Linked DNA regions of Canis lupus familiaris. The protein of the gene in region 3 purifies or fractionates together with the protein of the main gene of each other region. This does not show direct contact. Links are inferred from orthologs where the notes say so. Each region holds a gene or a part of one and is shown on either strand. Other genes may lie near its edges.

Region 1 (3,751 bases), on a different chromosome or scaffold from region 3:
CACCACTGTTCTGGAGGTTCTGAGCAGTGCAGGGACACAAGACAGGAAATAAAAGGCATGCAGACTAGAAAGAAGTGAAACCACCTCTATTCATAGGTGATGTGATTGCTTAGGTAGAAAATCCCATGGAATCTACAAAAAGCTACTAGAAGCGAGGTCAGCAAGAGAGCAGGGTACTAGAGTGATACACAAAAAACAATTTCTATTTCTATATACTAGCAAGAACCAGAAATTAAAACTTATACCATACTACTGCTTGTAATACCACCAAACGTACGAAACGCTTAAGAGTATTTCATAGAAGATGTACAAGACCTACACACCAGAACCAGAAATCCTTACTGAGAAATCAAGGAAAAGCAAACAAAGCTGTGCCGTGTCATCAGTTGGCACGCCTGGTACCATCAAGACATCAACGTTCCCCACATTAATCTAGAATTTGACACAATCCTAATCAAAATGCTAGTAGGCTTTATTTTTTAGAAATTGGCAAACATCATAAAATTCATACGGAAATACAAAAGAACAGTACATGTGTACTCAAGTGAATAAAATTCCTTAAAAAATCGGATAATACCAAGTGTTAGCAAGAACATAGAAAAACGGAGCTCTCACGTACTGCTGCCCAGATACAAGATGGTATAGCCATTTTGAAAACAGAAAATGTCCTAAAGTCAAATGTACACTTGCCTTATGACTCTGAGACTACTTCTAGATATTTACCCATGTCCACATGAGACTTATTCCTTCAGGTTCAGAACAGCTTTATTCCTACCAACTGCAAACTGTCAGTTATCCTGGTGAAAGGCTGTAGCTGTACTCCCCAGCAACAAAGAAACAAACTACTGGAACTGGGTGCAGACAACTGCCCCACACAGGTTCCACCGATGAGACTTAAACTGGTCCAACAGACCAACAGCAAGGAAGTCAGTGATCCGCCAGGACCAGGTCAGGAGAACGAACTCTTTGAAGTGATGTAAATATTCTAGGGATCCCTGGGTGGCGCAGCGGTTTGGCGCCTGCCTTTGGCCCAGGGCGCGATCCTGGAGACCCGGGATCGAATCCCACATCGGGCTCCCGGTGCATGGAGCCTGCTTCTCCCTCTGCCTGTGTCTCTGCCTCTCTCTCTCTCTCTGTGTGACTATCCTAAATAAATAAAAATTTTTAAAAATGTTTTAAAAAAAATTCTGTATGTTACCATGATAACAGCATTTACACCTCAATATAAGTCACTAAAGTACAGGTTCTATGCAAATTATGCCTCAAAAAGTCGATCAAAAAATATAAACTCATACAAAGTTATTACAAAGAAGGGATGGATGTCCACCAAAATGCCAATAGCGGTCTTCCTTGAGTGGCGGGAGTACAGGTGGTTTTAATTTATTTTTGTCCTTTTTTGTGATGTCCATAGTTCTTACAACAAACAGTTATGCAAACAGAAAGTTTTAATTCCAATGTCTTCATAGAAACGGAGGTATCTATCACACGGTCATGCAAAATGTAGGTGGTAGGTAACGCACTAATCAACGAATGCTATTCTCTGAAAACCAGTTATCAGGAAAACCGGTCTGCTGATCAACGGAATACGTAAAGTAATGCTCCTTTTCCACAATTACGTTGGAAACGGAACATCTTCGGACGTAACAAAATCCGTTTCCGCGTCTTAACCGCAACGATCGGAAAATAAAGAGGAGGAGGGCCGCGTGGCCGTGCGGCAGCGACGGGGGGGAAGAGCGCCCGCGCGGGGTCCGCCTCGGCCCTCACCTGGTACAGCTCCTCCAGGTTGTACCTGATGGACGTGCTGCTCTGGATGGCTCGCACCGCCTCGTGGAGCTTCTGCCAGGTGTCCTGAGTGTAGTTGTCCGGCAGCCGCGGTCTGTCTGCGGGGCGGGGGCGGGGTGAGGGTCGGCGCCCCCGTCGCGCCCACGATCACGCTCACGGGCCCGCAGCCCCCCCGCTTCCCTTCCCGGAATGACCCAGTCCTGGGGGCCCCGGGCGCGGACCGGCCGCTGCGGGCCCCCGCTGCGTGGACGCCGGAGCCGGGACACAGCCGGGGCGCTTCCGGGGACCGGACACCCCTTCGCCGCCGCCCGCCAGGCGCCAGGCCCCAGGCCCCGGGACCCGCACTTCCGGCGGCCGGGGGCGCCCCCCCCCCCCGGGATTCCCTCTCCGTAGGACCGGCACTTCCGGCGGCCGGGAGCCCCCCCCGTCCCTCCCCCCCCCACCGGGAGCGGCACTTCCGGCGGCCGGAGGCGCCCCCTCCCCCCACCCCTGCGCCCCCCCGGGACCCCCTCTCCCCGGGACGGGCACTTCCGGCGGCCGGGGGCGCCCACCCCGCCCCGCCCCGCCGCCCCGCCGCCCCGCACCCACCTCGGAAATTCTTGATGACGAGCTTCTTGGAGCCGCCGGCGCCGCCCGGCTTGGAGGCCACGGCGGCCGCGGCCAGGGACGCGGGCTTGGTGAGGCCGTTGGTGTGCCCGACCAGCGCCGACAGGGCGCCCTTCCTGGGGGTCTCGTCGGCCATGGCGGCGGCCGGGAAGCAGCGGGCGCCCCGCCCCGTCCCGCCTCCCCGGCCGCGCGGGCGGGCGGGCCTCGCGTCAGCGCCGCCCCGGCCGCCCAACCGCCGCCCCGCCGGCCCGGCGCGACCCCGACCCCGACCCCGGCCCCGGCCCCGGCCCCCGCCCCGGCCCGCCCCCGCCCCCGCCCCGGGCCGCCCGGCGGCCGCCGCGCTCCTTGTGGAACGTATAACGGTCGAGGGGGGCGGCGGGGCCCAGCTTGCCCCGGGCGGGAGCCCAGGCACCCAGAGGGCGCGGACCGGGCGTCCTCGCCGGGAGGCGGTGGCGGATCGAAGCGCAGGCCGCGGCCTTCCTCAGCCCGGGCGCGCCGCCATCCCGGCCCGGGGCGCACGCTGCCGCGGACTCTCTTCCTCCGGAACCCGCGTGCGGGGGAGGCGGGCCTGGGGGGCGCGCAGGTCCGGACGGACCGGCGGCCGGAAGTGAGGCGGACGCAGCCGCGCGCGCAGGCCCCGCCCACGCCCACTTTCCGCGGGGGGTCCGGCCATGGCGCACATCACCATCAACCAGTACCTGCAGCAGGTGGGTACGCGGGGCCGGGGCGCGGGTGTGGGCCGGCGGGAGTCGATGCGAGAAGCTCCACCGGCGTCCGCTCGGGGGTGTGGCCGGGGGGGCGGTCCTCGGGGGCACCGTGAGGGCTTAGGGGCTCCTGTCGCCGCCGCCGCAGCCGCCGCCGCCGCCGCCCCCGCCCCGCCGCGGGCCTCGGGCCTCTCCTCTGACGGTGCCCGCGGGGTGGGCCTTTGAGAACCCGTTGGACTACAGGCCCTCGTTGGCGTCTTATGTGCGTCTTAAAGCCCTCGAGGGCTTGGGGAGGCGCAAGGGCGAGCCTGCCGGGCTCAGACCCGCGACCCCACGCCTCGAGTCCGGTCTCCGCCCGCCCTGCCGGGTCTGCCCCAGCTTCGGCCGCGCCCCTCGTTCCCGCGCCGGCGAGCTCTTACCGTGGTGCACGGCGGCCCCTAGTTCGCACTTTTCCTTGGAGGCGGTGCCGCGGCCGTCCAGGGGCAGCCGTTCCGACCCGAGCTTCTGGCCCCAGACGCCGAGCCTTTCCACGCAGCACTCCGGCCGGCAGCCTCGCCGCAGCCAGCCAGCGCTTTCGGTCCCAGGCAGACCCCCCCCAGATCTCGGGGTCGGAAGTGTCTCTTGAATCTTACTGACCCTGTGGGTTTGCACACGAGTCT
Region 2 (3,651 bases), on a different chromosome or scaffold from region 3:
CTAAGAGTCTCATGGAGACTCTTGAGTTTCTAAACTTAAACTATCCTCGTTACATAAGGTTTATATTTTATTTTCAACAGTGTCTATGTAAAATGTGTAAGAGGTTAGCATGGATATTTTTAAATAAATTCCCATACTCAAGAGAATAGATCTTAAAAGTTTTCATCATAAGAGAAAAAAAGTTGTACCAAATGTGTGGTGATGGATGTTAACTACGTTTTTTATAATGATCATTTTGCAGTACATACATATAGTGATTCATGATGTACACCTGAACTAATACAATGTTATACATCAATTATATCTCAATAAAAAAAAATTTTTTTTAATTCTCACACTCAGTATCAGATATATGTTTAAAACCAAAATTTGGAAACAACCTAAATGTTCCTGAGTATAAAACTGATTAAGTAGGGATGCCTGGGTGGCTCAGTGGTTGAGCATCTGCCTTCAGCTCAGGGTGTGATCCTGGAGTCCTGGGATCAAGTCCCACATTAAGCTCCTTCTATGGAGCCTGCTTCTCCTCCCTCTGCCTATGTCTCTCTCTCTGTGTGTCTTCGTGAATAAATAAATAAATAAAATCTTAAAAAAAAAAAAGATAGTACACTTGGGACGTCTGGGTAGCTCAGCAGTTGAGCGTCTGCCTTTGGCTCAGGACGTGATCCCGGTCCCAGGATCAGGTCCCACATCAGGCTCCCTACAAGGAGCCTGCTTCTCTGTCTGTGTCTGTCTCTCTTTGTGTGTCTCTCATGAATAAATAAAATCTTAAAAAAAAAAACTGATTAAATAGATTATGGTATATCCATACAATGAAATGCAAACCAGCCTTTAAGAAAAATAAAAATTGCAATGCCTTGGTTGCTCAGCAGTTGGGTGCATCTGCCTTCAGCTCGGGGCGTGATCCCGGAGTGCCAGGATCGAGTCCCACAACGAGCTTCCTGCATGGAGCCTGCTTCTCCCTCTGCCTGTGTCTCTGTCTCTAATGAACAAATAAATAAAATCTTCGGAAAAAAGAAAAAAAAATTAAAAAATTATCTGTATATTTTATTTACATGGAACAAACCCCACAATATTGTGTCGAGTTGAAAAAACAAAGAGCACTGTACGTGGTATGTCATTATGTGTGTTTCTATTAACTTACATATATGCAAAAATACATCTGCAAGATAGGTATGTAAGCAGCCGGCTATAGAGGTAACATGTGGGCTGAAAAACTGGCTATTGAGGGAAAAGGTGGGAAGGATACTGAATAACCTTACTGTACTAGTATCTTGTTGAAGTTTCAGGTATTATAGTTTGGGTATTATCTATTCAAAATAATCTTTTTTTTTTAACTTGAAAGCCACATTTGCTATCAACTGTTCTGCATGCTATTATTTTACCATAGTGCTATGTAAACAAATAAATGACAAGTGTCTCTAAAATTAAACAGAAACCTCAATCTTTTTTGTCCTCTTAATTTGTTAGGTTGGCCGCCTTGAAAATGCAATTGGCTGGTATCATAGCCATCCTGGCTATGGCTGCTGGCTTTCTGGAATTGATGTTAGTACTCAGATGCTCAATCAGCAGTTCCAGGAACCATTTGTAGCAGTAGTAGTAAGTATTTTTGCAACCAGTCTTATTAAGTTCTTCTTGAAGAATTATTTAAGTAAGTACACTGAGAAATAAAAACTGTAGTAAAGCACAACAGTCTGGTGTCATTATACCTAGGATTGTATCTGAATTCCACCTCTTAGAAGCTGGGACTTATGTCTGAACAAGTTAACTAACCTCTCTGCAACTCTTCCCCCACTCTGTAAGATGAAGGTGATCACAGCACCTAGGTCTCAGTTCTCTGCACATAGTAGGCATTCAGTAATATTGACTGAATTGAGTAACTCAGGAATTGATAGAGCAGCTCTTGCTATGCTTAGAGTGGTTTAGATGCAATCCAGATTACTATGAGAAAGGTAGAAATTGTTCATCTAATAAAAAAACTTTCGAAAAAGAGATGAGCAAAACTTCAAATAACATTCTTCAATAGTATAATAACTAGATATAATTTCTATTAACTATGAGAATTCTGTACTCAACCACTTTATTCAACTTCTTTGGTATTTGGTTTGGTTATTTTCTTTCCTACTCTATTCCTTTTTCATTATTTTAATCAATGTTGGTGTGTGTGTGTGTCTGTGTGTGTGTCGTATGCATGCATAGTGTTATATATATCATATGTATTTCTAAGTTTAATGTTTAAACAAATGGAAGTATATAAAAATTTTATAACCAGCAGATGATAAATATATGTTTCTTTTAGATTGACCCAACAAGAACAATATCTGCAGGGAAAGTGAATCTTGGAGCCTTTAGGACATACCCAAAGGTAATTTTTAAAATTCGAAGTCCTTTTAATTTTTTAAATGACTCCTTTTTAAGTCATGTTATGCTTAATATCCTTTTTGTCCTAAAACAATTTGATAATATTTACAAAATAGTCAACCAACACAAATTGTCTTAAGCGAAAGATAACACATTTGTGCTATATATTGCTAAGAAAGCAGTTTTTATTTGTTAATAAGTCTCTTTGTGCCCATGACATTCTGACAGGTACTTCACAAACAAGCTAATACATCTATTTCCTTCCCTGTAATCTGAAATAAATATTAACCTATGTGTACATCCTCTAAGGACAAGAAAAATGAATCTGTAAACCAAATCCAACCATCAACCACCAAATGGGGTTGAGGGAAAGTAAAAGCAATATATAAATATATAATATATATACATATATTTTATATATATATATACTTTGTACTGGAATGTTTAAGTTCAATACATGGCTCCTCAAAATTAATGTTTCTATAAATGGAAAGCTGCATAGAAAGTTTTTTTTTTTTCTGTGTGTGTGTGTGTATATGTGGCTTTTTTTTTTTTAATCTTCTATTTTCTTCATTTTTGTTGAGGGCTACAAACCCCCTGATGAAGGACCTTCTGAGTACCAGACTATCCCACTAAATAAAATAGAAGACTTTGGTGTACATTGCAAACAGTAAGTCATTTTTAAATGTATCTGATGCCACAATCATCGTAAGAAATCTTAGTCCAAGCCCCTAATTTTACAGATGAGAATAAAAGTTCAGATGAATGCATTTCATAATCCTTTTAAAATTGTAGGAAGAATATAAAACTTGATAGGATAATGTTTGAATTTTTATTAATAATTGTTTTAAGGTAACATGTTATTTACCTTTCACACAACCATAAACATATCAATGTACAAGATACTTGGCTCATTAATGAAATTAACAACTGAAAGAAGTTTTATTCAGGGCCAGCCTGATACTACCTTATCCGTAAGCCCACAGAGTGTCCCAAGTTCCATTCATTCATTTCTTTCTTTCTGAGAGAGATTGAGAAAATGCAGGAGCAGGAGGAAGGAGCAGAGGGAAAGGTAGAAGCAGACTCCCTGACTATCTGAGGACCCCGAGATCAAGGCTTCAGCTGAAGGCAGCCACTTAACCTACTGAGCCACCCAGGCACCCCTCAAGTTCCATTTAGCAAAACTTCATCGTAAACATTTTCACTCCAAAATTTAAAGAAGCCATACTGAAACCAATGGATTATATACTTTTTTTAAAAAAAAAAAAAAAAAAAAAAAAAGAATTATATACT
Region 3 (3,651 bases):
ATATAGTCAAATGGGCATAATTTCAGAAAAGACTCACTGTTAAAATTAAGTCACCATATTCAGCAAGATTTTGTTTGCTTGTGAAATTATCACAAAGAAAATACATCTATGAAAACATCATTGAAACTAATCAAAGACCCCAAAGTCCTCCTATGTTTTAATAAATCTGGTTTAGAAAAAAGATCAACATTAAGTTATCATTAACAAAAACCTCTGTATTAGTTTCTGGGTAAGAGATTTATTTTTTATTTTTATTTTTCCAGGTAGAGATTTTAATTTTAAATGGCTAAGATCTTACCTGGAGAAGTCTTTAATCCAGTCATATTGAACATGTAGATATTGTCATCTGTGCAGTTAGCAAATAAAGTAGAGCCAGTGGAATCCAAAATCAGACTTGAATATCCTAGAAAAAGAAAACTCTAGTTAGCATGTCCTGATGACAGCAAGTAGAACTGAGGTAACAATGTTCAGGTAAAAAGATCGTTCCACAAGATCATCAGAATTCTTCTTCCCCCAAATATATACAAACCAAAAATATCCTTCTGAGTTTTCATCTTTTGAATTTCAAAAAGATACAGCCATATGTTAATCTCAAGTCTATGTTGCTGAAAACTACCTTGGTATTTATTTTTAAAATTGTAACAAAAACTCACATCTCCAAAAAAGTCCTACAGGGTATAAAAAAAGGCTTACCTAGTTTTCGAGTACTGCTACCTGGGTACAGGAAAGACTTGGATGCTATGGGTTCCTGTCGATAAGCAGTATAATTCTTACGTAAATCCCATATCTTGATTACCCTAAAAACCAAGGTAAAGAAAATTATTTTGTAACCCCCCCAAATCCAACTAGTTTCAACTACATTGAATATGAGATGACTTTTAATCTAACTCTTCTGGCACATCAACCAGGTAAAATGAGGATATCTCATTGGGAAACAGATTAAACTATCTCATACTGTTGTTTCCAACGTCAGGCTAACAACTCAGGCAGAACGGAAACAGATGTGGTCTGACCCAGCGATGGGTTACCTTGAGTTTACTTCAAGGGAGCGGAAAAGGAAGATGAAGGTTGGGTTTTGATGATCATTGTTTCATTGTTTCAGAAAAAAAAAAAAACAAAGCAAAACAAATACTTCCTAAACCTTTAACACTCTGCATGTAACCTCTAACATCGTAAGTAACAAGCTGTTCCTATGGTTTTATCTCTACATAGAACTCCTTAAGTAATCCAGTCTAAACAACTTTTCCTGTGAAATAAAGAAATAAAGTATTTTTTTTAGTTCATCTATTGGTATAATTGTCTTAATCCTCAACTTGTAGTGTTTTTTTTTTTTTTTTTTAATTTAAAGATTTATTTTTTAGAGAAAGAGCAAGTGAGTAAGAGCAGGATCAGGGGTATAGAGGGAAAGAGAGAATTCCCAGCGGATTCCCTGCTGAGCAGGGAGCCCTAACTCAGGGTTCCATCTCACAACCCTGAGGTCATGACCTGAGCCAAAGCCAAGAGTCAGTCACCTAACTGAATGAGCCACCCAGGGACCCCTCACCATCTAATTTATAGGCTACATGAAAACACAAGCTTGGTATAAAAGTACAGTATCCTTGAAAACAGAACAAGCTTTCATAGCCATTCATAAGCATAATTAATAACCAGCAGATAATCCTCCATTTGTGTCTGAAAATTTGGTCCACAGAGGAGTTTTGGTGTCCAGAAGACACAATGGAAATCCTAGTTCATTAAGCCATCATCTTTTAAAATTAGTTTCAAAGGGAGGGATGTCTTGAGAGATATGACAAACAAGTAAGAGGGCGAAGAAGGGGGCTTAAAAACACTCAAAGAATTTTTATGGTAACAAAACAAACAATCAAGAAGTATCACAAACTTATTTGGAAGCCAAACATTCAGACCAATCACAGATAGCAGGTATGTAAAAGTCATTAGGATTTATCATTATAGTTAGATTATACTCCAATATGCCCATGATAGAGAATCAGATTCCTTCTTTTAGGGGTATTACTAAACCTGAGAAGATAAAAAATCCAAAAAAATAGAAATTTTATTCCTTAAAATGAAACTCACTGCCTAAAGTATACTGCATGGACAAGACAGCTATCCATCTAGCTTCTCTACAGCAGCAGCAGCAGCCAACACTGCTCCTATGTGCTATATAATGTGTGAAGTGTGACACACGGATCACCTCATTTAATTATTTGAGCAAGAGTCCTAACTAGATATTTTTCAGTGTGATCTGTAGTTCCTCATCTCAGCTGGGTATTCACTATGTTGAAAGTTAAAATAGCATACACATTCGATTAAAATGGGACTAGGTGACTTCCCTATCACAGTTTATGAAAGAGATCTCATCAAAAGAACCAAGAAATAAAGGCTCTTACCCATCCACAGCTCCTGCTGAGATTAATGTATTCTCATCTTGAAAGAGGACCACAGTAACACTCTGCTGGAAATCCTAACAGGACAAGGCAGAAAAAGACAGAAGAAAGTCCTATTTTAGGTATCATAATCTTCACAATCAAGACACCAATATGCTAAAATGATGGCTTCCCCAACTCAAATTCTGAGTTAGACTAAATCTTCCCTCTCCAATAATCCTGAATCAGATATTTATACTGACCAAGAAATAATTTTAGCATGAAAATGACCTAAACACCATTAACTAGAGTAGTGTTGACTTTTGACTTGTACTCAAGGAAAAAACAGGTAAATAAAAGATTTGTCTAAATCTACAGGTTCTACTTAAAAATCGGTTCTACTAATAAGCTATGTATCTGCAGGAAACTCATTGAACTTTCTTGTGCCTATTTTATCTATAAAATGTCACCATCTACTTAAACTGTCATATAGGAGGATCTAAAGAATTATGTATGAAAGCTGATTACAGCTCTCTTCCTCGGCACCGCCTGCGGAGGTGGCAGCCATCAATTGCTGGGCATCATGGCTGCCCTCAGACCTCTAGTGAAGCCCAAGATCGTTAAAAAGAGGACCAAGAAGTTCATCCAGCACCAGTCAGACCCAATATGTCGATATGTCAAAATTAAGCGCAACTGGTGGAAACCCAGAGGCATTGACAATGGGGTACGCAGAAGATTCAAGGGCCAGATCTTGATGCCCAACATTGGTTATGGGAGCAATAAGAAAACAAAGCACATGCTGCCCAGTGGCTTCAGGAAGTTCCTAATCCACAATGTCAAGGAGCAGCTAGAAGTGCTGCTGATGTGCAACAAATCTTATTGTGCAGAGATTGCTCACAATGTATCCTCCAAGAACTGCAAAGCCATTGTGCAAAGAGCAGCCCAGCTGGCCATCAGAGACACCAATCCCAATGCCAGGCTGTGTAGCAAAGAAAATGAATAGACAGCTTATGTGCGTGTCATGTTTGTGTTAATAAAACCATAAAACTACCAAGAAAAAAAAAAAAAGGTGATTACATGCTCTGAAAAATTTAAAGGAGTTCAATGGAATTTCACCCCTAATTGCTGTTAACAAGTTTTCTTGGCTCAGAATTAGATTGTCTGAAATGATACTCATTTTAATTCCATCTGGTTTATAAAAACCACATTAACCCTGTCAATTTTTCTTTTTTTTTTTTTTTTTAACCCTGTCAATTTCTACTCATGCCTGTGTCCTATTCTTGGT

Evidence for each region.
Region 1: the proteins of DTL (region 3) and CUL4A purify together in Homo sapiens (affinity purification with western blotting; 15 studies listed by BioGRID and IntAct, with this or other methods). This does not show direct contact. The link is inferred for Canis lupus familiaris from reciprocal best matches to the Homo sapiens genes DTL and CUL4A.
Region 2: the proteins of DTL (region 3) and COPS5 purify together in Homo sapiens (affinity purification with mass spectrometry; 6 studies listed by BioGRID and IntAct, with this or other methods). This does not show direct contact. The link is inferred for Canis lupus familiaris from reciprocal best matches to the Homo sapiens genes DTL and COPS5.

Annotation. Positions count from the first base shown.
Region 1 is NC_049243.1:60,780,657-60,784,407, reverse strand, and holds the start of CUL4A (cullin-4A), read right to left. Parts: upstream 2,542-3,751; 5' UTR 2,525-2,541; coding exon 2,371-2,524; intron 1,881-2,370; coding exon 1,765-1,880; intron 1,109-1,764; exon of another isoform or gene 1-1,108. Other genes in the region: PCID2 (PCI domain-containing protein 2), read left to right, coding at 3,060-3,095. UniProt on the Homo sapiens protein: Core component of multiple cullin-RING-based E3 ubiquitin-protein ligase complexes which mediate the ubiquitination of target proteins. As a scaffold protein may contribute to catalysis through positioning of the substrate and the ubiquitin-conjugating enzyme.
Region 2 is NC_049250.1:17,041,816-17,045,466, reverse strand, and holds part of COPS5 (COP9 signalosome complex subunit 5), read left to right. Parts: intron 1-1,467; coding exon 1,468-1,596; intron 1,597-2,296; coding exon 2,297-2,362; intron 2,363-2,942; coding exon 2,943-3,028; intron 3,029-3,651. UniProt on the Homo sapiens protein: Probable protease subunit of the COP9 signalosome complex (CSN), a complex involved in various cellular and developmental processes.
Region 3 is NC_049228.1:10,193,334-10,196,984, reverse strand, and holds part of DTL (denticleless protein homolog), read right to left. Parts: intron 2,465-3,651; coding exon 2,391-2,464; intron 798-2,390; coding exon 694-797; intron 404-693; coding exon 299-403; intron 1-298. UniProt on the Homo sapiens protein: Substrate-specific adapter of a DCX (DDB1-CUL4-X-box) E3 ubiquitin-protein ligase complex required for cell cycle control, DNA damage response and translesion DNA synthesis.